Oryzias latipes: one gene and its partners. The protein of the gene in region 3 interacts with the protein of the main gene of each other region in a pairwise test. Links are inferred from orthologs where the notes say so. Each region holds a gene or a part of one and is shown on either strand. Other genes may lie near its edges.

Evidence for each region.
Region 1: the proteins of ppp1cc (region 3) and zfyve9 interact in binary tests that used the Homo sapiens proteins (3 or more experiments, as listed by UniProt). The link is inferred for Oryzias latipes from reciprocal best matches to the Homo sapiens genes PPP1CC and ZFYVE9.
Region 2: the proteins of ppp1cc (region 3) and c3h15orf59 interact in a two-hybrid assay, tested with the Homo sapiens proteins (2 studies listed by BioGRID and IntAct). The link is inferred for Oryzias latipes from reciprocal best matches to the Homo sapiens genes PPP1CC and INSYN1.
Region 4: the proteins of ppp1cc (region 3) and tprn interact in binary tests that used the Homo sapiens proteins (3 or more experiments, as listed by UniProt). The link is inferred for Oryzias latipes from reciprocal best matches to the Homo sapiens genes PPP1CC and TPRN.
Region 5: the proteins of ppp1cc (region 3) and ppp1r3c interact in binary tests that used the Homo sapiens proteins (3 or more experiments, as listed by UniProt). The link is inferred for Oryzias latipes from reciprocal best matches to the Homo sapiens genes PPP1CC and PPP1R3C.
Region 6: the proteins of ppp1cc (region 3) and serine/threonine-protein kinase LMTK2 interact in binary tests that used the Homo sapiens proteins (3 or more experiments, as listed by UniProt). The link is inferred for Oryzias latipes from reciprocal best matches to the Homo sapiens genes PPP1CC and LMTK2.

The regions. Positions count from the first base shown.
Region 1 is NC_019875.2:4,330,823-4,334,975, forward strand, and holds the start of zfyve9 (zinc finger FYVE domain-containing protein 9), read left to right. Parts: upstream 1-1,353; 5' UTR 1,354-1,591; intron 1,592-4,153. UniProt on the Homo sapiens protein: Early endosomal protein that functions to recruit SMAD2/SMAD3 to intracellular membranes and to the TGF-beta receptor.
Region 2 is NC_019861.2:27,767,791-27,772,039, forward strand, and holds the start of c3h15orf59 (UPF0583 protein C15orf59 homolog), read left to right. Parts: upstream 1-1,449; 5' UTR 1,450-2,028; intron 2,029-2,064; exon of another isoform or gene 2,065-2,242; intron 2,243-2,487; 5' UTR 2,488-3,949; coding exon 3,950-4,093; intron 4,094-4,249. UniProt on the Homo sapiens protein: Component of the protein machinery at the inhibitory synapses, probably acting as a scaffold. Inhibitory synapses dampen neuronal activity through postsynaptic hyperpolarization.
Region 3 is NC_019867.2:25,502,798-25,505,666, reverse strand, and holds the end of ppp1cc (serine/threonine-protein phosphatase PP1-gamma catalytic subunit), read left to right. Parts: intron 1-248; coding exon 249-383; intron 384-1,732; coding exon 1,733-1,822; 3' UTR 1,823-2,369; downstream 2,370-2,869. UniProt on the Homo sapiens protein: Protein phosphatase that associates with over 200 regulatory proteins to form highly specific holoenzymes which dephosphorylate hundreds of biological targets.
Region 4 is NC_019870.2:25,831,451-25,835,625, reverse strand, and holds the start of tprn (taperin), read right to left. Parts: upstream 2,801-4,175; 5' UTR 2,446-2,800; coding exon 349-2,445; intron 1-348. UniProt on the Homo sapiens protein: Essential for hearing. Required for maintenance of stereocilia on both inner and outer hair cells. Necessary for the integrity of the stereociliary rootlet.
Region 5 is NC_019873.2:14,796,075-14,800,081, forward strand, and holds ppp1r3c (protein phosphatase 1 regulatory subunit 3C), read right to left. Parts: upstream 2,801-4,007; 5' UTR 2,631-2,800; coding exon 2,617-2,630; intron 2,379-2,616; coding exon 1,379-2,378; 3' UTR 355-1,378; downstream 1-354.
Region 6 is NC_019866.2:12,832,156-12,834,731, reverse strand, and holds part of serine/threonine-protein kinase LMTK2, read left to right. Parts: coding exon 1-1,907; intron 1,908-2,442; coding exon 2,443-2,575; intron 2,576-2,576. UniProt on the Homo sapiens protein: Phosphorylates PPP1C, phosphorylase b and CFTR.

The DNA of each region.
Region 1 (4,153 bases), on a different chromosome or scaffold from region 3:
ATACGTTCATGAACTGAATTGCATTATTTTGAAGAAGCCTTTACTCCGCGTGGGTTTGCTGCTGGGAGCTCCGGTACGGTTACTTGAGAAGGCTGAGCCATTTTGGCTGTGAGCAGCAGGACGGATCCGCGGACCCGCCCCGGGGATCAGCGCCTCCAGGCCGGCCCACCGGCCGCTCTGCTGCAGCGGCGGGAGCAGAGGCTGGCTGGACGGAGCGGCCGGAACTGCGTCAAGCTGCACGTGACAAGCTGCTACCACACCGGAAACACGATGTGTCGCCTGGAAAATAAGAGCTCTGACATGGTATTTCCACCAACAAAGCTACCGGTACCTTTTTAATTTTTTTGGTTGCCAATCTCCTCCACGTGGGTCGGCCCAGCGCTCCGTTGATAAGCCTCGGCCCTCGAAGGGTCTCTTCCCCGATTTCTCCCCCACCAGTGTGATGGAGTCCCTTGTTTTTAATTTTAGTGTTAATAAAATTGTGTTCAAACTGGTACCACGTCTTGGCCTCATTTTGAAAAGTAATCTGTGCGCCTGGGTTGAAGCGCCTCTGGGTGTCCCGGGGTGGCATTGTTGAATCCCTTTTTCTGCTACACCAGCTGCCACAGAATTCCAACATTTTCTCCACAGTACCTTGCCATTGATGCCGAGACGATTAAGAGACAATTAATTAAAAATCCCTAGGAAGAGTTTTTGCTTGTATCTGGAAGTAAATTAAATTAAATTCAAGATAGCTGCCTTTTCCCAAAGTCAAAGGTCAACGAAACTTCTGTAAACTCGAGCTGGTGGCATATTTGTGTGATTTCGTCAAAATTGCTCAAACAAAAGTGTCGTTTTCCCATATTATGAAAAAACACAAAAAACGGTGATTCTCAGAGTTTGCCACAAAATAGCCGCCAAGCCATAGGTTGTGTGGCTGTCCCATAATGATTTCAAAACTTTAACTCCCAAAGTCATATTTTGGTGACTTTTCGAGTATGCGGCGGGGGTTACATTTTTGCTCAAAGGCGCCGAAACCTTTCCAACTACAAAAACAATATGGTCCTTGCAGTCACTGACTGCTACATAATTAAAAGACCATTAAAGACGCTTAGAAAATGAATCAAAAGATAAACAGAGTGGAACTTTATTGTTTTAAATAGGTTCCATAAATTTTAGTTTTTTTAATCAGGCTTTTGGTTCTTGCTAAGGGTAATAGCAATAAAACAAAAACTACTTAAAAGTAATAATTTGCTTTCTTTTTTATTATAAAGCAAGTTTAAGATGTTACAGTGTACAGTTCTTCTCAGATTTTCTGAGGGATTTTATTTTGAAATGTGTTCCGGAAGTCAGGTGCTTCCATTGAGCTTGCCTTTCCTTCATCCGTATTTTCCAGCATTAAACCATGGGGGAGGGAGTCTGGAGTGCTGCCTCACAACTACGGCGGACTACAGGCTCTACTTTTCGGCTCTAAACATCAGAGACCGGCGGCGGCGAAGCCTCTGACGGGGAATCCCTCGGAAACGCCCCGAAAGGCTCGGATGTATGTATGGCTTCTCCGGAGTGACGGGGAGTCTCGCGGGGGACGGGCGTGAAGATGAGGATTCCTCCGGTGAGTTGCTGCATTTGTTTTCGGGTGACATTTCGCAGCTCTGTTGCTCCCGTAACGCTCCGCACCGCCATTGCAGCGGTATTCCCGAAGGCGGGCAGTGGACGTGCGGGTCCGCCGCGGCGTTTGACCGCCGCTCCTGCCCCCGAACGTGCGCGACCCCCTCCGAACGTTTCGTAACGGTAACGCGGGATTCTGCGTGAATCATACAACGCGCTGCGTGAATTCCAGCTGTCGCTAACTCCACCGCAGACGGAGCGGCGGCCGGGACGCGCAGACTTTGAGCGCTCAACCCGTCGTGACCGGCGTCGCACTCGGTGAAGCGGAGACACCGAGTCAGTGACGGCGGGCTGAACCGCCGGAGCAGCGCCCCGCGTCCGTCACTGCGCACGAGCGCCCGCTGGACCCCCGGGGGTTGAAGCCCGCCGCTTTGCCCCCCGCTGCCGGGATTATGTAACACCAGTGCGGCGTTACACGTTCTGCCGGACTTGGTGGAGCTTTTCGTCTCACTAGCAGTCCCGCTAAGTTGAGGAGCAGCTGCTCCTCCCGGGCTGTTGCTCGGCCTGCAGGCTGGAGCCTCCGTGCCTCCTCATGTTGCATAAGCCTCGCCAACGGTCACCCATCTGCAGTGGCAGTTCTCCTGTGGGCAATGTGGGCAGTCGCCGGGGGCACGAGCTCCCCGAAAAACAAACAAAAACCACATCCCACCCGCCGCGCGCGCTCATTTCCACGTGAAGTTATAATGACATGTGTCTGCGTGCTGCTGGGATGACAGTTTTTGGAGTGGAGAACACTCTGGAGCAGCGCGCGCGCGGGGGAAACCAACTCGCAGTTGCAGTGGCTGTGAACAGGTAGAGGGGCGGGGCTTAGACTCACCGCTGATGATTCCAGACCCCGCAACAAACCAACAGCTGCTTCCTAATAACTAACATTTTCATTAATACATTTAATTTGCTGGGTTTACTGGATTTTATGAAAAGTTAAAGAAAAAGAAAAAAAAACACACAAAAAAACCCAGAAAGGAGTCTGCATTAAAGTGTAGCATCACAGGCGGGGACCGCTCCCCCACAGCCAAGAGGTGACCCAGGTCCCCATCCAGAGCCGCAGTGGCTGAAACAGCAGCCGACCCACAGGGAGAGGTTCAACTGAGGAAGCACCGAAAAAATAAATAAAATGAAAAACAGAATGAAAAAATAAACTTATTGATAAAAGCAATAAACGATAAAACATTGAAATAAGGTACATTCAAATTAAAATAATGCATTAAAATCTAGTGTAAGTTCATAAAACAAGATAAAATGGATACATAAAAATAAATAAATCAAACAAACAAATAAATAAATAAATAGTGGTGGTAAAAAACTAGGTAAAAGCCAGGTTAAACAGATGGTTCTTTAGCCTTTTCTTATAAACGTCAATGCTCTCTGCGGCTCTCAGGTCCTCTGGCAGACTGTTCCATAAACGGGGGCCATAGTGTTGAAAAGATGCTTCTCCGTAGGTTTTGGGTTTTACAGTCAGAATGGTTAACAGACCTGTGCCAGAGGATCTCAGGGTCCGCGAGGGTTTATACTTTACTAAAAGATTGGATAAATAAGAATGCGCAAGACCGTTAAGACATTTAAAAACGGTTAGGAGAATCTTAAAATCAATCCTGAAGGGGATTGGGGAGCCAATGCAGGGATTTTAAAATTGGGGTGATGTGAGCCCGCCTCCTGGTCTTGGTGAGAACTCGTGCAGCAGAATTCTGGAGAAGTTGAAGGTTCCTAATGTTGGTTTTTGGAAGACCAGCAAGCAGGGCTTTGCAGTAGTCAATTTTACTCATGATAAAAGCATGCATTAGCATCTCCATATTAGCAAGAAAGAGCAGTGGGCCTATCCAGATTTCTGAGATGATAAAAAACAGTTTTAACCACCTGTTTTGTTTGTGGGATAAAAGTAAGCTTAGAGTTGAAAATAATACCCAGTTTATTGACTGTTTCTGAATGGCTTAATGAAATTTCTTTTAACTTCAGAAACTGTTTCTCTTTCTTAACTTCAGGACCAATAACTAAAATTTCATTTTTTTCCTGGTGGAGCTGCAGAAAGTTATTTGCCATCCATAATTTTACATCTAAAATACAGTTAAAAAGTGCTTCTATTGGTCTTGTGTCATCAGGAGACATAACTATGTACAGCTAGGTATCATCAGCATAGCTATGAAAGCTGATGTTGTGGCTTCTGATGACATTTCCTTGTGGAAGCATGTAAATGTTAAAAAGCAAGGGGCCAAGGATGGAACCTTGAGGCACACCACAAATAATTTCATGGACCCCAGAAAGGTATGTGTCCATGCTTACCATAAAGTTTCTCTCCATGAGATAAGATTCAAACCACTTGAGATCAGTCCCTGAAAGGCCAAGACTTTTAAGTCTGTTTACAAGGATCCGGTGATCAACGGTATCAAAAGCTGCACTTAGATCTAACAGAACTAGTACTGAGATCTGACCTGAATCCAAGGCACACCTGACATCATCAATGATTTAAAAGAAGGCTGTCTCTGTACTGTGGTTCGTTCTAAAACCAGAC
Region 2 (4,249 bases), on a different chromosome or scaffold from region 3:
TGAACAGGTCGCCAGTCTGTTGCAGGGCAGATTATAAAACAATGTATATTTTATATATATGTTTTTTTTTTTAAATCCAGGAATGAAACAAGTGTACAGTATCTTACCAGCTTTACTCTCCTGACATAGCAATAGTTTTAGAATTATACTATACACACAACTAATCAATAAACAATGTCATCTACAACAGTGAAAACAATATTAGAAATAAATCATGTATTTTTTTTCTTTTTTAAATAGAAACAACAAGCTGGAATTACTTTAGCATTAAAATGTCAGTATGTATTCAAAAACAAAAAATTGATTGGTTTTAAACATGGAAGCAATGGAGGTACTATGATGCCACAAAACACAGGGATTCTCATTAGTTTTTAGTCTGTCTTTTCTGAAAAAGCTCATTTATAGCAAAGGCGTGACTAGATGTGATTTTATTTTTATGCTTACCAAAAAAAAAACAAAAAAAATGGAAGGAAAGAAAGAGAAGAACAAAATGTAAATCTGCTAAAACAGCTGCTGTGTTATTAGGATGGAGCTTTCTATAAGTGCGGAACAAGAGAGAGAGGTACGGCAGGGAAGCTGTGAAGCAAACATGCTCAAGGACACCTGTTTTCAGTCGGCAGTTTGTGAGAAGCACCTTGTGTTTGCAACAGAGAGCAAACACGGTGTAAATCCAAACACAGGCCAGCCTTAACTCAACAGCCAGCCATGATGTGCTTTAAAATTAGACAATGTTATGAATAATTGATGAATTCCTAAGACGACAAAATGGTACCGCTTACTTTTAAAAGGTTTGTACTTTGTTTGAAGCCTCTCTTTTCTTCACGTATTTTGTCAAGCAAAAATCTGATTATTTATTAATCAAAGAAATCCTGCAAAAGATCATTTTAGTATACAACAAAATATTCTCTCAATTAGCCTTACAGCACCCGCATTTGTTTGTGATCCTAGTGGCAAAACCACAGAGGACACCAGAACAAATTCATATGCATGAAAAATCCACCTAACCTGAATCAACCTCTCATTTCTCTGCACAGTTATGCAAAGGAATGCACAGAGCCTCTAGCTGTTTACAAGAGTTATCTACCAAAAACCTGCTTAAACTGGTGAGTACTGCAGAAGGTGCTCACATTTTTAATTTGCTTTGGATAACTAACTTCATATCTCTGTGCTTCAGGTAGAGTTTTTAAGGGAACAAACTTGTGTTGAGACAAAAATCCTTTGGAGGAGGACAGAAGAAACACCAAACACCATCAAACACCAACCTGTTTTGTATAATAGTGATGTTAAAAACTTGATTTAAAAAAGATAATACCCTCTATACACTAGTGACAAAAGCTAGATAGGCTGAGTGAGAGGAGATAGGGAGGGAGTGTTGACAGCGGCACGGAGGAGAAGACGAGAGAGAAGGAGAGGAGGTTGCAAAAATGCTGTGCCTTTAAGGCAGCAAGCCCCTCCTACATGGAGCCGAGCAGAGGAGCCGAGTGATGCTGGCAGGAGCCCGAGCTTCTCGATAAACTCTGGCATCAGCTTCCCTTCATCCGGCAGTCAGTGAGGACACAGTGAGGGCGGAGGGGCAGAGGGATGGGGATGAAGGAAAACTGACAGGAAGGCAGAGAGAGGAGAGAGGAAGATAAAAACAGACCAAAAGACAAAAAGGAAGAGACTGTCATTAGAATCACACAGCTCCTTTTTCACAGCAGCCGGTCAGCCGTACCGACTAGTGCTTCCATCCAACCCGACTGGGATGACGGGTGGTGTGTTTTTGTGGTACGGCTGCCTGAGTGACGGCAGCGCCTGCATCACAGTCCGAAGCAGGAGTTCTCCTCGCCGCTCTGTCTCTTAGTCATCCTCAGCCTTCTCTCTCCCTTAGAGTGTTATTAGGACCGTTCATCTTCCCCATCTCATGCCTTCTGCCTCCTCCTCCTCCTCTTCCACAGCTTCATCCTCCACTTCTACTCCTTCTCTGATGAGCCACAACCTCAGAGTGAAATAACCCTGCTGATAGAAGCTTCTCTCTCTGTCAAGACAGTAAGTAAAGGGAGGGGGGATAACTGTGTGTGTGTGTGTCAGGGAGCCTGTGTGTGCAAGTCGAACAGAGACAGAGAGTGCAGCAAGACGGTCAGAAGAGAAGATGTTAGTGTGCACGACAGAAGGACCTCCAAGGAACCGGCAGGTTTGAGTGATCGTGATACGCCTGGCTATTGAGCTCCAGGCGTAGCAACAGCGTGGTGATACCGGCACGGTGAGTAGGTGTGTGTTCCAGTAAACGCGTGTGTGAGCGTGGAAGTGAGGTAAGTACTGCTGAGGCGAGGGATGCATTTTACCAGCAGCCGAAAATCCTCAACTCACTTCACATGTCTCCAACCTCCTTCACAGCACTGATGTTGCTCTTAGAACTGCTCAAAACTGAGGAGAGGCTAGCAACAGACAGGAGGGAAAGATGAGACATGAAAGAATAAGTAATTGCTTTCCTTCCCTTCTGACCAGGTGCCATGCGTGATTGGCCAGCACACCCTGTGGCAGTGGCATTGCCCGGGATTGAGCGCGAAGCTCTCCCTCCTGCTCACTCTCTGGAGCTCCTCTGGGAAGCTTTCCTGGGATTTATCTTGTGCTGCTGGATGGCACGAGGCTCTCTGCCTCTCTGAGAACGGTCCCCAGAAAAAACACTCTCTATACGGATAAGAAGTAAAATAATTATCCAATCACAGCACAAGCAGGCAGACTGGGTTCCCTTAGCAACAACTGAAGGAGACAAGTGATTTTTTTTTTCTCTCTTTCTGCTATTCTGGTTTTTGGGCACACCCCTGTGGACTGCTGTGGGTCAGCGTTCTGAGAGAGGACTTGAAGAGCGATGCTGCAAAAGCCAAGCTCCCATCCAAATTCCAAAGGAGGGTGCTCATCTGCGTTCCAGGCTCCTTGTTACTGTGTCTCGCTGACAACATGATTTGGGGGTTTTTTGTTATCCCTCCACAAATTCCCTTCACCAAGTCACATTCTGCTGGCTTTGAAATCAATTCATCCTGATCCCACGCCACCTGGAATGAGCTCTGCATTCAGGAGAGAGATTGGAAGAAAAAAAAAAGCTCACACCTACTCTCTTGCCTTTTGTGGACAAGAATACAAGGACAGCGCGATTAGCCTTTCGCCAGCAAGGAAAATGGATGTGAAATAAAGTTTATTTTAACAAGTTTTTTTCAAGAGGAAGAAATAAAACGGGGCACAGAGGAATATCTTTTTTTTTTCAGAGAAGATTTGTCCTTTCTCTCTTGCAGACACTAGCCCTCACTGAGGGACTTCATTTAAAAGGCAAATCTTGTCCCCACTGGCCATCAATAGATTAGAAAAAAGATTTTCAAAGTGAGCTGTTGATGTGGGTTTTATTTTTCCAGGTAGCTTAAGCTTAACCCACTATTAAAAAAGGTTGTTTTTTTTGTGTTCCCAGTTTTGTAGGTTAGTCTACAAATATGTCACTGTGTTGAAGTGAAAAAGATTCAAGTGGACAAGGGGAATGGGGAATAAGTCTCCCTGTATAGACAGGTGTTTTAAAATAGCTGGGACAGTTTTAAATGTACATGCTGACATGAGATGAGTTTGCTTAACACGATTATGTAAGAAATCTCCAAACAGCGTCAGCTCACATTTTCTGCTTCCCTTTTTTGTCCATGGATTTTAAGTGTGGGACTTTTCTGATGTTGATACTCCCTTCAATTTTGGAAGCGTCTACCCGAAGGGATGGATGTCAGAGTGTGACCCTGTGCCAAGTGTGCGGGCGAGGCAAGGTAATTTGGCTGCCCAGGTGCTTTTAAGATGTTGAGGTCTCCCTGTGTGGCCGGGGCCCCTGTTCGGATCAGTAGCGCTGAGGCTCATTGTAGCCAAAGACATGGACCCCGACTCGGCTCCCCCACGCCCTCAGCCTGTTGGCCACTGGCCCCACGTCACTTTGTAAAGGATGTCCCTCAGCAGAGCTCCGGCCCAGGACACCTCTGAGACCCCCAGCCCGAGAGAACGCATCCGCAGCCACATGAAGATGGTGATCAACCAGCTGGAAGGCATTCTCACAGAGCTCAAGGATGTGGCCAAGGAACTCCGGGAGGTGAGACTCAAAATCTGCTTTTTTATTGAATTAAAAAGGAGAGCAGGGGAAGCAAAAGGAAGTTATACATGATGGGGGGCAGGGTGGGTGTACTTTTTATGTGAGCTCCTTCTAATTAAGTATAAAAACAGCATGGTGATTTTCTTTAGATATATA
Region 3 (2,869 bases):
TGTATCAAAAGACATTTATTTTTGACCCCTGAAAAAACAGCATTTCTTCTGGTAACCTGAGCTTTTGAATAGAAATGACATTCTTTGACATTTAAAATCAATTTCCTTTTAAATGCAACTGTTTTAAAAAAAACTGCACTTTAGTTGAGAGAGAGTGTAATCATGGTGACAGTAAAACTAAGCGTGATGATGTCACACTTTTTGGAATTTTCTTTTAACCCCCTTTATTGTCGTTCTGCCTCTTTCAGGTGGTTGAAGATGGTTATGAGTTTTTTGCAAAGAGGCAGCTTGTGACCCTGTTTTCAGCTCCAAATTACTGCGGGGAGTTTGACAATGCTGGTGCCATGATGAGTGTCGACGAGACTCTTATGTGCTCTTTTCAGGTGGGCTACCTTTATTCATGAAGATACTACCATAAGCTGTTTGCACCAATATGATCTCAGGCTAACCCTAGATTAAGCATTCCTTTAAAGAAAATTACATTTCAAGACATTAAAACATAACTGCTTGTTTTGAGTTTGATTAAGGATTTGATACAGTTACTTAAATATTGATTTGATTTATACATTTTTAATTCCAACACCAATTGATTTGCTTTTTTAATAAATGTTTACTAAGTGAGTGATGGAAACTAAACAAAAATACACATTCCTTTTCTTCCCTATTCAAAGACCCACTTCGGTAAAGTGTGTTTTTGGTGTTTTTAGCATGGTCTTCTGTCATTTTTCTGATGACAAGGGAAACATATTAAGCTTAAAATTGCATTTCTATGTCTTTCTTTAAAATGATAAAAACACTATTTATAAAAAGGTGTATGTGTGACGTAGAAACCTTGTTGGGCGGGCCTCAAGCTCCCTGCTCTACTCTATTCTGATGCAAACAAATAGATCCATTTACGTCTTAGTTTTCCTTGTCTCAGCTGGAATCTGGATCAAAACTGTATGACTGGAACCCTTTAGTATTGCTCGCCATTTTTGTTCCACCACTAATGTAATATTGGGTTTTTAGGGGCTGTAAGATAGTGGGAGAGCATATGAACACAGAGCTCCTGGTTAAGGATGATGGGAAGGAGGTTGCAGGTTTACCCCCCCCCCCCCCCCCCCCCCAAAAAAAACAGTCAATTTTTAATAGAAAGTTGCCTTAAAGAAAGATTGACATTGCATTTCGAAATGTCAATCAAGTGGTTTATGCTGCCGTTCTTGGTGTTAGTGTTCCTGGGTTATCTTCAGGGAGAATCTATAGGTGTATTTGATTTTTGATTTCTCCAAATGTCTGTGTTGATCGAGTAAAAAAGCAGTCAGACAGCTATAAAAGTGGATAAAGCGCTGCAGCTGCTGCCTCTCAGCAGCAACAGCTGGAAGTCTTCTCTGCGGGGTTAACTTTCCAAAACAAAGACATGGAAAATACACCCTTTTTCTTAAAGCATAACTTTTATCCATGTTGTTGAGATGAAGCCGTATTAACATATTCCACTTACTAACCTGTTTGTTTCTTTTTTAACGTTTCTTACAAGCAGAAATCGTTTATTGTGTAGCAGTAAAGAGGAAATGTAACTCTTATTCTGTATTACTAGGGAATTTTAGTTTGAGTATACATTTGTTTATTTATTCTTTATTAAAAGCTTTAATATGAAAATAAGAAATGTCTAGGCCTCAAAGGACTGTTATTGGGTGTGTGGTTTTTTTTGGGATGTGATAAAACAAAGGCGTAACTCTTTACACTGGATTTGCAGATCTTGAAACCAGCTGAGAAAAAAAAGCCCAACGGCAGTCGTCCTGTGACTCCCCCTCGCAACATGGTGACCAAGCAAGCCAAGAAATGAGGCAGGCGCCAGGGAGCTGGTGGGGGCCAGAGTCCCACTCCTCTGGTCTGCTTTTGTTTTCCGCATTTGAAAGATCGGGTCTTCTTCACGCTGCCAATACTGAAGATACCCGCTCCCACTCGATGAAACAAAATGTTTTATTGTTTTGTCCCAAGGGGTAAGTTGATAAGTCACCATGGAAAACCTCAGGTGTTTTGCACTCCATTTGCAGCTAGTCTTTGCCACATAATGACTGTTCAATCAGGAAAATGTAACAATACGGCTACTTGTGCACAGGAATGCCTTTGTCTGAAGCTGTGCACAATTTTTCCACTTTTCCATGTCTCGTTTATTTGTCATCTCTTTTCCTCACTGTCAGTAATAATAAACAATGGCTATAAATCTATGAGGAAAGTCACAGACACATTTACCTTTGTAAACTCCATTGACTGTCAGTGTCAAAGAGAATTGTCAGAATTGCATCATATTTCTAAATAAGTCGCGCTAAGTTAAACGAATAAGGAAACATTCTGTAATATCAAAGTCTTTCTAATAAACTTTGAGAGTATTTGGGGGGGGGGGTTGATATCTTAATGTTATTTGTTTCTAAAACTTTTATGGCTCTTGATGAAAATAAAAAGTTGAAAACTTCACTGTGTCTAAATAAGTGCTCATGAATTATAAAGCAGGTACTAAAAAACACCCACGAAGACCAGCGCTCAGCCACCTGCAGCTCTTTATCGCTCTGTTGTGGCTCTCTGGTTAAAGAAAAATGATTGTCATATTTAAAAGTAACTATAAGGGAAGTAAGAAAGTTTTTTAAAAAGTAAGTTAACTCAAACTTTTTTTAAAACTCATTCACAAACATTTGAAGGACGGTACGTATCACACTTTAACAGATTTATTTGCACCATGTAACGGAAAATCAATTGAAGGTCAGTTGGCACAACCAGAGTTAAAGACCACCAGATTATGAGATGGATTTTTTTTTGTTATTTTTGGAACAAATGAAAGGATTTAAGTGCACCTTATGGTTCAAAAAATAAGATAAGGGTCACCTAAATAGCT
Region 4 (4,175 bases), on a different chromosome or scaffold from region 3:
CAGCATCTTAATCCACTTATGCAAACCGGCTGCTGCAGGTCAAGCGATGAGACGCGGCGGTTTAGCGGCATGCGGATGTGTGCAAGCGCGCATGTGGAGGCGTGAGCTTCAACAACAACTACGGAGGTGTGCAATGAAAACAACAGGTGCAAACAAAACCAGAACCGTGACATTTGACTGCTAAATTTAGACCTCAAGAAAAATTTGACGAACACGCGTCTCACGACATGATGTGTGTTGCCATGGGGATGTGTGTCTGTGGGGGGGTTCTGCCTTCGTGAGGAGGCTCCACATTTCTGAAAGACTGGTTTAGGAAAAGCAAAACAGAACATTTGAGTCTGTGCTCACCTTCTTCCCATTGGAGCCCGTTTTGGAGAGGCAGGACTTTGGGAGGGACAGGTATCCACCGATGACCTGGATGTCCTCCACAGCGGGGTAGCGCTTCTTCAGCAGGGTTCCCAGCTGAGCGTACGGGGCCTGTGGGGGAGTGGACCCCGGTGGGGCCCCCCTTGGTGCTTCTGGCTGGGTCTCAGGTGAGCTTGGCTGGGTGTCGGCCTCCACCCTGCGCTTTGGCACCACAGTGAAGGTGTTGCCCTTCTTCCTCTGAACAAGGGGGCTGGGGACAGAGACGCGCTGTGGGGGCTCCACCTCAATGTCATCTATGTTCGTTACTGGCAGCTGATCCAAAGAGGGGGGCCGGTGCGTCGGGGAGGGGGTGGATGTGAGCGGCAATGGGGCAGGGGAGTCTGTTGGAGCTGGTGAAGATGGGGGTGAAGCTAGAGCAGGTGAGGAAAAAGGAGGTGGGGTAACAACAGCAGGTGGAGACAAAAGGTCAGAGGTCACAGGAGAACCAGGACTTGTTTCAGTGGTAGGAGAGGCGTCGGGCTTGGGGGTCCCCACCAGCCTCTCCGTCTCATTTTCCTCCAATAAATTTTCAGCTTTTTTCTCCGTGGACTTCACAGGGAGTGTTGGGGAGGGGGGCACTCTGTTGGAGGAGGAGGCCTTGACTGTGCTGGCCGCTGCAGGCGGGGCCGTAAGGCGGCCTTTGGGGACCACGGTGAAGGAGTTCCGGGACTGCAGGCGGAGGTTTGCGAGGGCTCGTGCCTGGGTGTCCCCGTCAGGGATCTGAGCCAGGTCTGGCTTTGGGGAGGCCCGGATCTCAAAGTCCTGTGAGGGACGGGACGCCTTGAAGGAAAAGGGAGCTGTGGGGGACTCGGCACGGGCACGGCGGGTCTCCGGAGAGCATGGCACCTTTGGTTTGGGGGACACCTCGGTGACCTCCCAATCTCGCTCCCTGGTGACCTTGTTTGGCCCCCTGTCTGGCTCGTCTCGTGGGGGGGCCGCTGGGCCTTCCTCGAACCGCTGACGGAAGGATGACACTGGATGAGGGCCCCCGGGGATGTGCTGGGGGCTGCTGTGCTCCGGAACAGGATGCTTTGGTGTGGAAGAGCAGGAACTCTGGAAGAGCGGTGAAGACAGCTGGCTGCTGACCGACTGACCCGGCCCCTGTTTTGGCCCCAGGTCTGGCTGTGGTCTGGACCAGAGTCTGGATCTGCTGCTGGAGTTGCTGTCCAGGTCCAGCAGGTTCTCCGTGCTGTGGGACTTCTTCTGCAGTTTCCCATAGTTGCTGTCAAACTTCTGCAGGATCCGGCTGACCCGGCCATGGCCCTCCCCTGCAGCATACGCGGCCTCATACTCGGGTCGGCCCAGGGTGCTCAGGTTCTCCTCGCTCTTGCTCAGCGTGGTGTCGTAGATGACCACCTCCTTGGCTCGGATCTCGGTGACAGCGCTGCCCCTGCGGTCCAGAAGGTCGTTCAGGGAGCTGTAGCCCCCCACCCCGTTCTGCTGCCACTTGGCCCCCGTCTGAGCGTCTCCAGCTTCTGGGAAGTAATCTGGATCCGTCTCGATGATGATGATGTTGTCGGCTCGGATAGTCCGTATTCCCGGGACGCTGCCGTACAGTTCCAGGATGTGCTGGACCGGGCGGCCGGTGTGTTCTCGCTCCTCCTGCCGCTCCTGCCGCCTCCTCCGCTCCTTCTCCAGCTTGATGAACGGGTTCTCCTCGAGGGGCCCCAGACTCTCCTGCAGAACCAGGCTCTCGTGCCGGTCGTTCTCCCTCGGAGTCCTGTCGGAGGCCGTCGGTCGCGGCTCTTTGTTGTTTGCGAAGTGTTGGCTGGCTGTGGTGATGGTGTAGTTCCGTCCGGACCCACCGGCCGCCCCGCCGTCCCTCGTGAGTCCGCCGCTCCCGTTCACATTCCCCGTTAGCTCGCCGTTTACCCGTTGTGGGCCCGCACTGCCAGGGCTGGTCTCCGGGGACCCGGTTCCCCCCGAACCGCCGCCCTTAGCCTTCCTCCTCTCCAAGATTTCTCGCTTCCAGGCCGGCATCCTCGGACTTTCTTGGCCGGCATCTTGGCGGAGGAGGCGAACCTCAGCCCCGCCGGACATCGTGGTGGCTACCTCGGAAGGAATGAGGCACTGCTGCCGCGGAGCGCTGCGGCTGTGAAGGGCTGAGTGTGCCGCCGAGCGTACCCACAGGACCGTTCAGGGCGCACGCATCCCTGCCTCCCCCCGCGCTCTCTCTGTCGCCTTCACGGTACACTACTCTGTTTCTCCCACAGCCCCTGAACGCGACTCCTCCTCTCCACCGGACCGTAGCCCCTCCTCCCCATCCGTTCATCGGCCCCAAGGCTTTACAGACACGCCCATTTGCTTCCCTTAAACCGCCCCACAATCTCCCAAACCACGCCCCATCAATTGTTAACCGCATAAAATGGACTGTCAGTCAAAAAAAAAAAAAGGTTGCATTCAAGGCCGGTCCATCCTTTCAGGCAACTAAAGACGAATTCACACTTTGAGCTGCGTCCTTTCTCATTTACGGCTTTGTCGCCTGACTTTTAGTTCATAAAGAAGTTCAAGTTCACGAAGAAAACTCAAATATGACCTATTTTGGCTGAAGTTTAGGTCTCCCCAGGTGTCCCCTGTCGGTACCCGAGCGAAGCAGCTTTTTTCCTGCACGTGAATCAGCGCTAAGTGTTCTATTCTTGGGGACAACAACAGATTAATGTACCTGATCAAATATTAATCGCGCGGCTATAATTAAACACAGCTCGACATAAGTGGCCAGAACAATAACCAGTTTATTTGTTAGGTTCGCCCTGTTTGCTGAACAACAAAGGCTTCGGTACATGTTGATGGATACTACTGTACCAAAGTTTGGCTTCAGTGATTGATTTATTAGGAATTTGACCTTCTACGGGCTGTTAGGAAATACTAGTCATTAAAATAAGAAGTAAAATCAGAAAAAAACATTTACACGACATTTGGAAATCGTGAGATTTTAATAACTGATTGACCAGCATACTAGACTTTTACATGACAAACAGCGACCCCTTGTGGTCACTCTTTACACACACAGATTTAAATTATTCATTAGACAATATTAGTTTCGTTTTTATTCACAAATTTGCAAAGTCCAAGAAATAAAACAAAAACAAAAAACTGCATGTGCCAACTTCATTTAAAACTTCTCACATAACATACTTTGACATCAATACAATAAATAAAAATAAAGTCTTAAATACATGCAGATACATATAACACACAGTAAAGTATAAACCAAACATAGCTTCTGAAAATAAACAGCTCTCAGGGTGAGGCGTGAAAACAATCTACTGCTTGTTGCAATGAGGGGGTTCAAGCACAAACAGGTTTCTGTGAGGGTCATTCTCACAAACAGGAGCCAGCGAGGGGAGTATAAAGGTTGAATGAACAACACCACAGACAGAGAAAAGATGAAAAAAATTGAGCAAAATGTGTTTTTTTCTTTTTTTTTCTGGGCAAACAAAACCAGTAACCAACTGAAGTTTCTCAAACTGCAAAGACCATTACAGTTTTAGATTGTTGCAATGTATTGTCTTTAAACAAATCAGCAGGTGAACAGATACATGAAAGTATAGCTGATATTTCCCGTAAGGCTCATAATTTTCTGTTGATTGCGCATCTGACATTTTCCGTTTAATTCTCACAAAGTTCCAAAAATGAAGTTACATGGGAAAGCAACTGATTGAAATGACTTCCAATAATTGTTTCAGAACAAAAAAAACCAACGTAACTCAAGCAGGCACATAAAATTGTCCCTCAAGCTACACCGTAGCGGTTTGAAAACAAGAGGAAAT
Region 5 (4,007 bases), on a different chromosome or scaffold from region 3:
TACGCAGTGTTGTGCCACTTCCCCTCTCAGTAAATAAAGAGCCTAACCCCAGGTAATGGGAGACGCTTTCATTAATAATTCATTTAACTCCAGTGTTTGTAAACACCAAATCATGTATGCATTGATGGTTTGTTTACAAACATGGGTTACATAATCCAAATTTTAAAAGATCTGCAGCATGTTTATGCAATGAAACTGCATTGCAGAAATTTGTGCTTTCCTGGGGATGCTGGGAAATACTCATTGTACGAAATAACATGTAATTTTCAAGACTTAGGTTTTATAGTCACATTTTTATGTTGACAACACAACCGTATATTAAAGTAAGAGGGAAATAAAATCCTGAGACTTTAATATTTTGACACAAATATATATAAATTTATTCCAAAAAGTAAATACATTACAATCATGGTGTGTGTCGGCAACACACACCTTCAAGTGAGACACAAAATGCCGGGGTCTAGACCTTTTCTTCACAGTGACTAAAAGTTTCAAAATACAAAATAATCTGGATTCCAGCCACTCAATCTGTACACTTAACATTAAGAATTGCACTTGTGAACACAAGCAACCAACACATTCGATCTTTACATCATTTCTTTCTTCACTTACCAGAACAATTAATCAAACGTCTTCCCTGTTGAAAACAACCAATCACATGCAGATACTTTCAAACCACACATCAATATAGCAGCTTCCTTTACATAGCTCGCCTCAGAATTACATTTTTCTTTTAACCAGGCAAAAGTGTGCAATTTACACGGAGGGAAAGAAAGGGCTGCATGACTCCCATTTTAGAAAACAAGACCACTCTGAATATAGGAGGGTGCAAAGGTTTAGTGTGCTTTTTTTTTCCTTTCCGTTTTAAAATTTTTTTTTATTAGAAATCAACCTAAATTTCCTTGAACAGAGAATCATTCTACTGTCATGCACCCCCTAGCTTTCCCTTCAATATGAAGGACATAATCAGCTCCTTTTCCTTCCTAATATCCAGACGTCACATTGAGCGCAGTCAGTGCATATTCAACTCATGCATCAGTCTGTATTTTAGTGGGCAGACATGATAAGAAGGCACATTAATATTTTACAAAAGGTCTCTTTCCCCCCTACCCCAAAAATCCCTCCTCTGGTAGCCACTGTTCAATCATTTACCAGGCCGAACGACCATGTTACAGCAGAAAGTAGGTCAGTTGAGCATATTACACTTAGGTTTCTGTCTTTTTTTTGTACTACTTCTGCTTCTGAAAGCAGAGCTTGTTCGCTTCAGTTTAGTTTCTGGCTGAGAGGCAGTCGAGTTGAAGCCCCAGAGCTGGATTTGCACTAAGAGCCCTGTCAGTGTCTGTGATCTTGTGCCGGTGTGGCGAACCTCCTGCTGCTTTCACCAGTAAGGCACGGTGTTATCAAAGTGACCCCAACTCTGCCAACCAGGAAAAAGTCCGCTGGACATGCGTGGGCTGCCGAACTGATCAAACCCCAGGTCAAGTACCTTCCCGTCCCCAGTTTTGTGCTCTGAAAGCCTTTTTGGCTCAGAAGCTCTGCTCACGTTGTCGCCGCTCCAGCCATTGTGTTTGAGGGTGTAATTCTTGCCATCGTTATTGTCCCAGAAAGCCTGGCCTTGGACCTTGAAGCAGATGCAGAACTCGACTCGGTTTTGTGGCGGGACGTAGGATGGCAGCTCCACGACAAACGCAAAGGTGTCATTGTCCTGGCTGTTGTAGACGTTGTTTAGGAAGGTGCAGTCCACGTCGGTGTAGCTGGCCCATGAGTCGTAGGTGATGCGCACTTGCACCAACTTCTCAAACCCAATGTTTCTGACTTTGATGGTCCCCGTCAGAGAGCGTTCCTGCAGGGAGCAGTTCTCCAAGCACACGGAGTTCTGAATCAGGCGGTTCCGAAAGTCCAGATAGTCGGCCGAGGGCTGTTTAAAGTCAAGTGCCAGGCTGCGAACAGAGCTGATCTTTAAATCCATGGTGGCTGTTTCCAGGTCTGTCATGTCGAACTGCAGCTCCTCTGTGATCTCATCCTTCTGCTTCATCTGGTACGGTTCATCATCGAACTTGGAGAAGACGTGGATGTTGGTGAGCGCCATGCCTTTGGTGTCGGCAAACACCACCCTCTTTTTGCCGGCCTTGCTTTTGTTCCAGGCCACGCAGCTACCATCACTAACTGCCTTCTGCAGGCACGGTCGCAGGGGCTTGTAGAGCTGCTGGCTGTGCCTGCGGGCGGACTGGTTGGCCCTGTTCTTGGCCTTCTGCAGGTCATCGTAGGGGCTGAGGAAGCCTCGCAGAGGAGGAGAGTGGCTAATGTAGAATCTCATGGCCACATCCATAGGCATTACAGGGCCAGGCATTGCTGATGGACTGAAAGACGGGAGCACACTGAAGGAGGAGGAGGAGGAGAGAGAAAGGAGAGGAGGGGGAGGTTAGAGATGGTGCTTTCTGGAAACAGTTTGGGGAAACTTTGACACTTTTGTGCAGTTTTTTTAACCAAAAGAGCTACTAAAAGTCAGTAAAACCACAAAATTTCAAATTAATCAGACTTAAATTCCAACATTTTGTAGTAATTACCGAATAAAGGGTAACACGTTTGGATTCGACGTGAACACCAGCTCCTTACCTTGCAGCACTCATGGGACAAAGAATAAAACGCCTCAGATGCGGAAATGGTTCGAAACTTTTCAGCTGCGTTGGAAATGTGCAGAGCAGCTCTGTCTTAAAGTGCCCGCTGCAGGAACTCCCCCCTTTATATGCCTCTTTCTCGCTCCTCAGTCCTCCAGTGCTGCGTTGGCTCCTCTCTCTGAGATTTGAACTGCCTCACGGGGGCTATTTGCATATCCCATCATGTGGTTCCCTGAGCAGCAAATCAGAAGGCGAGTGGCTTCGTCACCGACCAATCAGCTTCGAGGAGGACACGTCCGCCGGCCGGCTAGAAGGGGGCGTGTTGCGTCGTGGTTGGGATTCCTCAGCTAGTTGTTGGAGAGTCTTGATGGACCCCTGCTGGAGTGGCCGTCTCTCTGCCTGGGCGCAGACCATCTTCTTCCCCATGCCCAAGAAAAACCCCAGCAGCACCGAAAAATCTTCACAGACTTTGACAAGATCTTTTAAACTGATATTTAAAATATTTATTTTTTTTAAAAAAATATTTAACACCAAATTGGGAGAAAAAAACGTAAAAAAGTAACATTTACCCCCTACAACCCCCCCCCCCCCCCCCCCAAGTCATTGTCTTTTAACACTTTGTGTACTCACAACATAATTGCTAGGGGCCCCTCTTTGTCCCAGGTTCAAATGTCAACACTGCATTGCCAAATACTTTTTTTTCTCTTTGACTAACCAGCTTTGACTCCACTTTTTTCTTAAAGTTACATTTTCTAATGATTATAGATCCCTTTACTGGCAGAAACTATGGAGTTAATTCAGTCTCAATAATCAGAAATGCACACAACCGGTTTTACAAATGCACACGCTCCGATTCACAAATGTCATTTTATGCAAACGTGAAAAATAAATTCGGAAATACACACCCTGTGTTTCACAAACACACAGATTGTGTTTCACACATGCACACTAAATGTTTTACAAATGCACAATAAGTGTTTCTCACAAATGTGCACACTGTTTTTCACAAAAACATTTTAGAAATTCACAATAAATGTATCAGAAATACACAGTAGGTGCTTCACAAACATGATTTTTAGGTACACATGTGATGTGAACTCACAGATCATTCGAACTGCAGACTGTGCATTCAAACTCCCGTTCTCGTTTGTGAATCTCCCCGTGTGTGTGAGAGATTTTTCTACGGTGAATATTGAGACTCATCTGACGGAGCGGGTCAACTAATGTCACCATTGGCTAGTGAATCTGTCAATCAAACTCATCGGGAAAGCAGGCGGGTTCGCTTTTAGCCAATCGAATGGCCCCTTACACTTTCTCTACGCTTCTGCGGGTGGCAAAAGCCCCGCCCATGTTTGATTCTGTACCAGTCGGTCGTTAGCGTGTTAGCCC
Region 6 (2,576 bases), on a different chromosome or scaffold from region 3:
AACTGTCTGGAAACTTTGTGTTTCTTAGAGACCACAAGCTGATGAAAGAGGACTCCGTCAACTCAAGACTGCACCCAACTTTTCTTTTGCCCGGCTTAGTTCACGAACCAGAGGATACCTTCAAGATGAGCTCTTGGGAGAACCTTGAGACGTTTGGCAGCTTAAACACAACCGACTCGTACTCAAAACCTGCACCAAGTAGCGCCTCCTCAAGGCAGGAACTTTTAGACTTTGAAAGTGCAAACTTCGAGGACGCCCTGGTCGAAAACTCAACACTGGTGCCTTCCATTACCGTGGTGGCAGATGACAACACAAGCAGCTACCTGCCAGTTGTAGAAAGTTCTTCCTCTAAAGACCGCAGCCTGCCACAATCCTCCGACAGAGGAGCAGACTCCGGTTTTGATTCTACCTCAGAGAAGGTTGAGATCGTCACTGATGGCCACTCCTCCGCATTTCCTGACAGTGCCACCAATGACTCTTTGTGCACCTATGCCAACATTGCCAGCCTTGACGATGACGACCCAACGACCTTACAAACCGCCGATCAGTCCGCGAGGAAGAAAATGCCGGAATATTTCCCAGTTTATGGAATGTCTTCGGAAAACGGGCACAGTGAAGACTTAACGAGCAACGATCTGTTTAGTGAGCTGATTGAGGACATGGAGTTGGAAACCACTCTGTCGGATCATGACGAGGCTTTCGTGGAAACCAATGGAGAAGCTGCGGTTCGGTCTTCTCTCTTGGTGTCTGGACCGTCTCTGGACCAGATCAGTCAGGACAGCTTACTAGAAGACAGCTGTTCTAACACCGTTCCAACCGCAGAGCACCCGGCTGAAACGCCAGACTCTTTAGATTCTCTAGACATACACAGGCTGGCGGAGCAGGCCGATGAGCTGAGCGCTCAAACACTTCAGCACAAACTCCATCCTCCATACAAGATATCTGACAGCGGCTACGAGACGGAAAACCTGGAGTCTCCGGAGTGGAACTCCCAGCCGAGCGACCGCTCTCCTGTCAAAAATGGCAGCAGCATCACAAAAGAGTCAGAAGAGCTGGCATCTGCAGCGAATTTGGTGCCACCAAAAATTGTTATCTCCGAAGTTGAGGGTTTACTGGAGAATTGTGGGGAGGACTTCCATGAGGGCCAGCAGACGGATCGTCCCGCTGAGGAGCCGTTCATGGGCGGCAGTTACAGAGACTCTGCGTACTTCTCTGACAATGACTCTGAACCTGAGAAAAAGTCTGACGAAGCGGCAGGAGGGGCTGCCGACGCTGTGTTGCTGAGGAACTCTGCCCAGAAAGCTGCCAAAGAAAGAGATATCGATGCTTTATTTTCTGAGCAGGACACCAACGTGGTCGTCCATATCGACGCGGCGCTGGAGGTCCACAAGGACTTTGAGACGAGAGTTGCAGAGCCCGACAAAAAGACACCTCAACTTTTTAATGCTACATCAGCACCAGAAGAACTTGAAGACCCCGCCGCCTCATCAAGGAAAGAACCAGAGAGAGGCGTTCACCCAAAGCTGACCAGGACGTACGCCAACGACGGCCATAAGATCAAAGAGCCAGACGTAGAGGGCCGCTACCTGGGGAGGGGGGAGGATCTGGATGGGCAGGAAGATGGCGTGGACGCAGACGAGGAGGACGAGAACAGCGAGGACTCGGATGATGACCTGCGTGGGTACCAGCTGCACAGCTCCAGCTCTGACAGCGAGGACGAAGCGCCGCACCCCGTGCCGGTGATTGTGTCCGACGACAGCAACTCAAAGCACCTGAAGAGTTTGTTAAAACCCACAACTTTGAGCATACCAGCATCAACTTCCCCGTGTCCAGTGAGGTCCAACGCAGAGAACTCCAGAAGAGCCGTGTCCTTCTTTGACGATGTTACAGTCTACCTATTTGACCAGGTACAACATCTGTTTTTATCTCTGCAGCGATGTTTTCCTGGAAAATATAAAGCTACGTTCACACCAGACATATTATGTACGTTTAAGAACGCGTGTTTAGCCCATGGCGTTCACACTGGACTGTCTCTACCTAATACTAGCGCCACCTACTGTTGGAAGACACTTGGGGTGAAATGTCCAATCTCGTAAATCTTGCTCTAGAGTTTTTCTTTCACAGCGCTGTTCTGGTAGATGAAAGATTTGGTGTTGTAGAATTCCTGCCGGGTACAAACCGCAGTTATTAATTTCTCCTCCATCATCAAATTTCAAACGGTTGGCAATTCTGTAGATGAAAAGGAATGCCATCCAATGACTGACTTCAATGGCTGTGCGTTTTGTACGTAGAGCCTAAAAGTCTTAAAACGTGTGTAGCTACGTGTGAACGCACATTTACCTTGACTTTTTCTAGGAAGTGGTTTCTTGAATGTGCGTTGTGTGAACTTAGCAGCATAATGCAGATGTTTAGATCTTATTTTGACTTCTTGTGTTTTTTTAGGAGACCCCCACCAAGGAACTGAGTGACCACTTGAGTGGCCCAAACAGTCAGACGTCAGAGTTCAACGGTCCAGTGCCTGCTGCCGGCTTCCCGAACCGCTTCGGTAACTCCGAAAGCTCCACCGATGAGGAGGG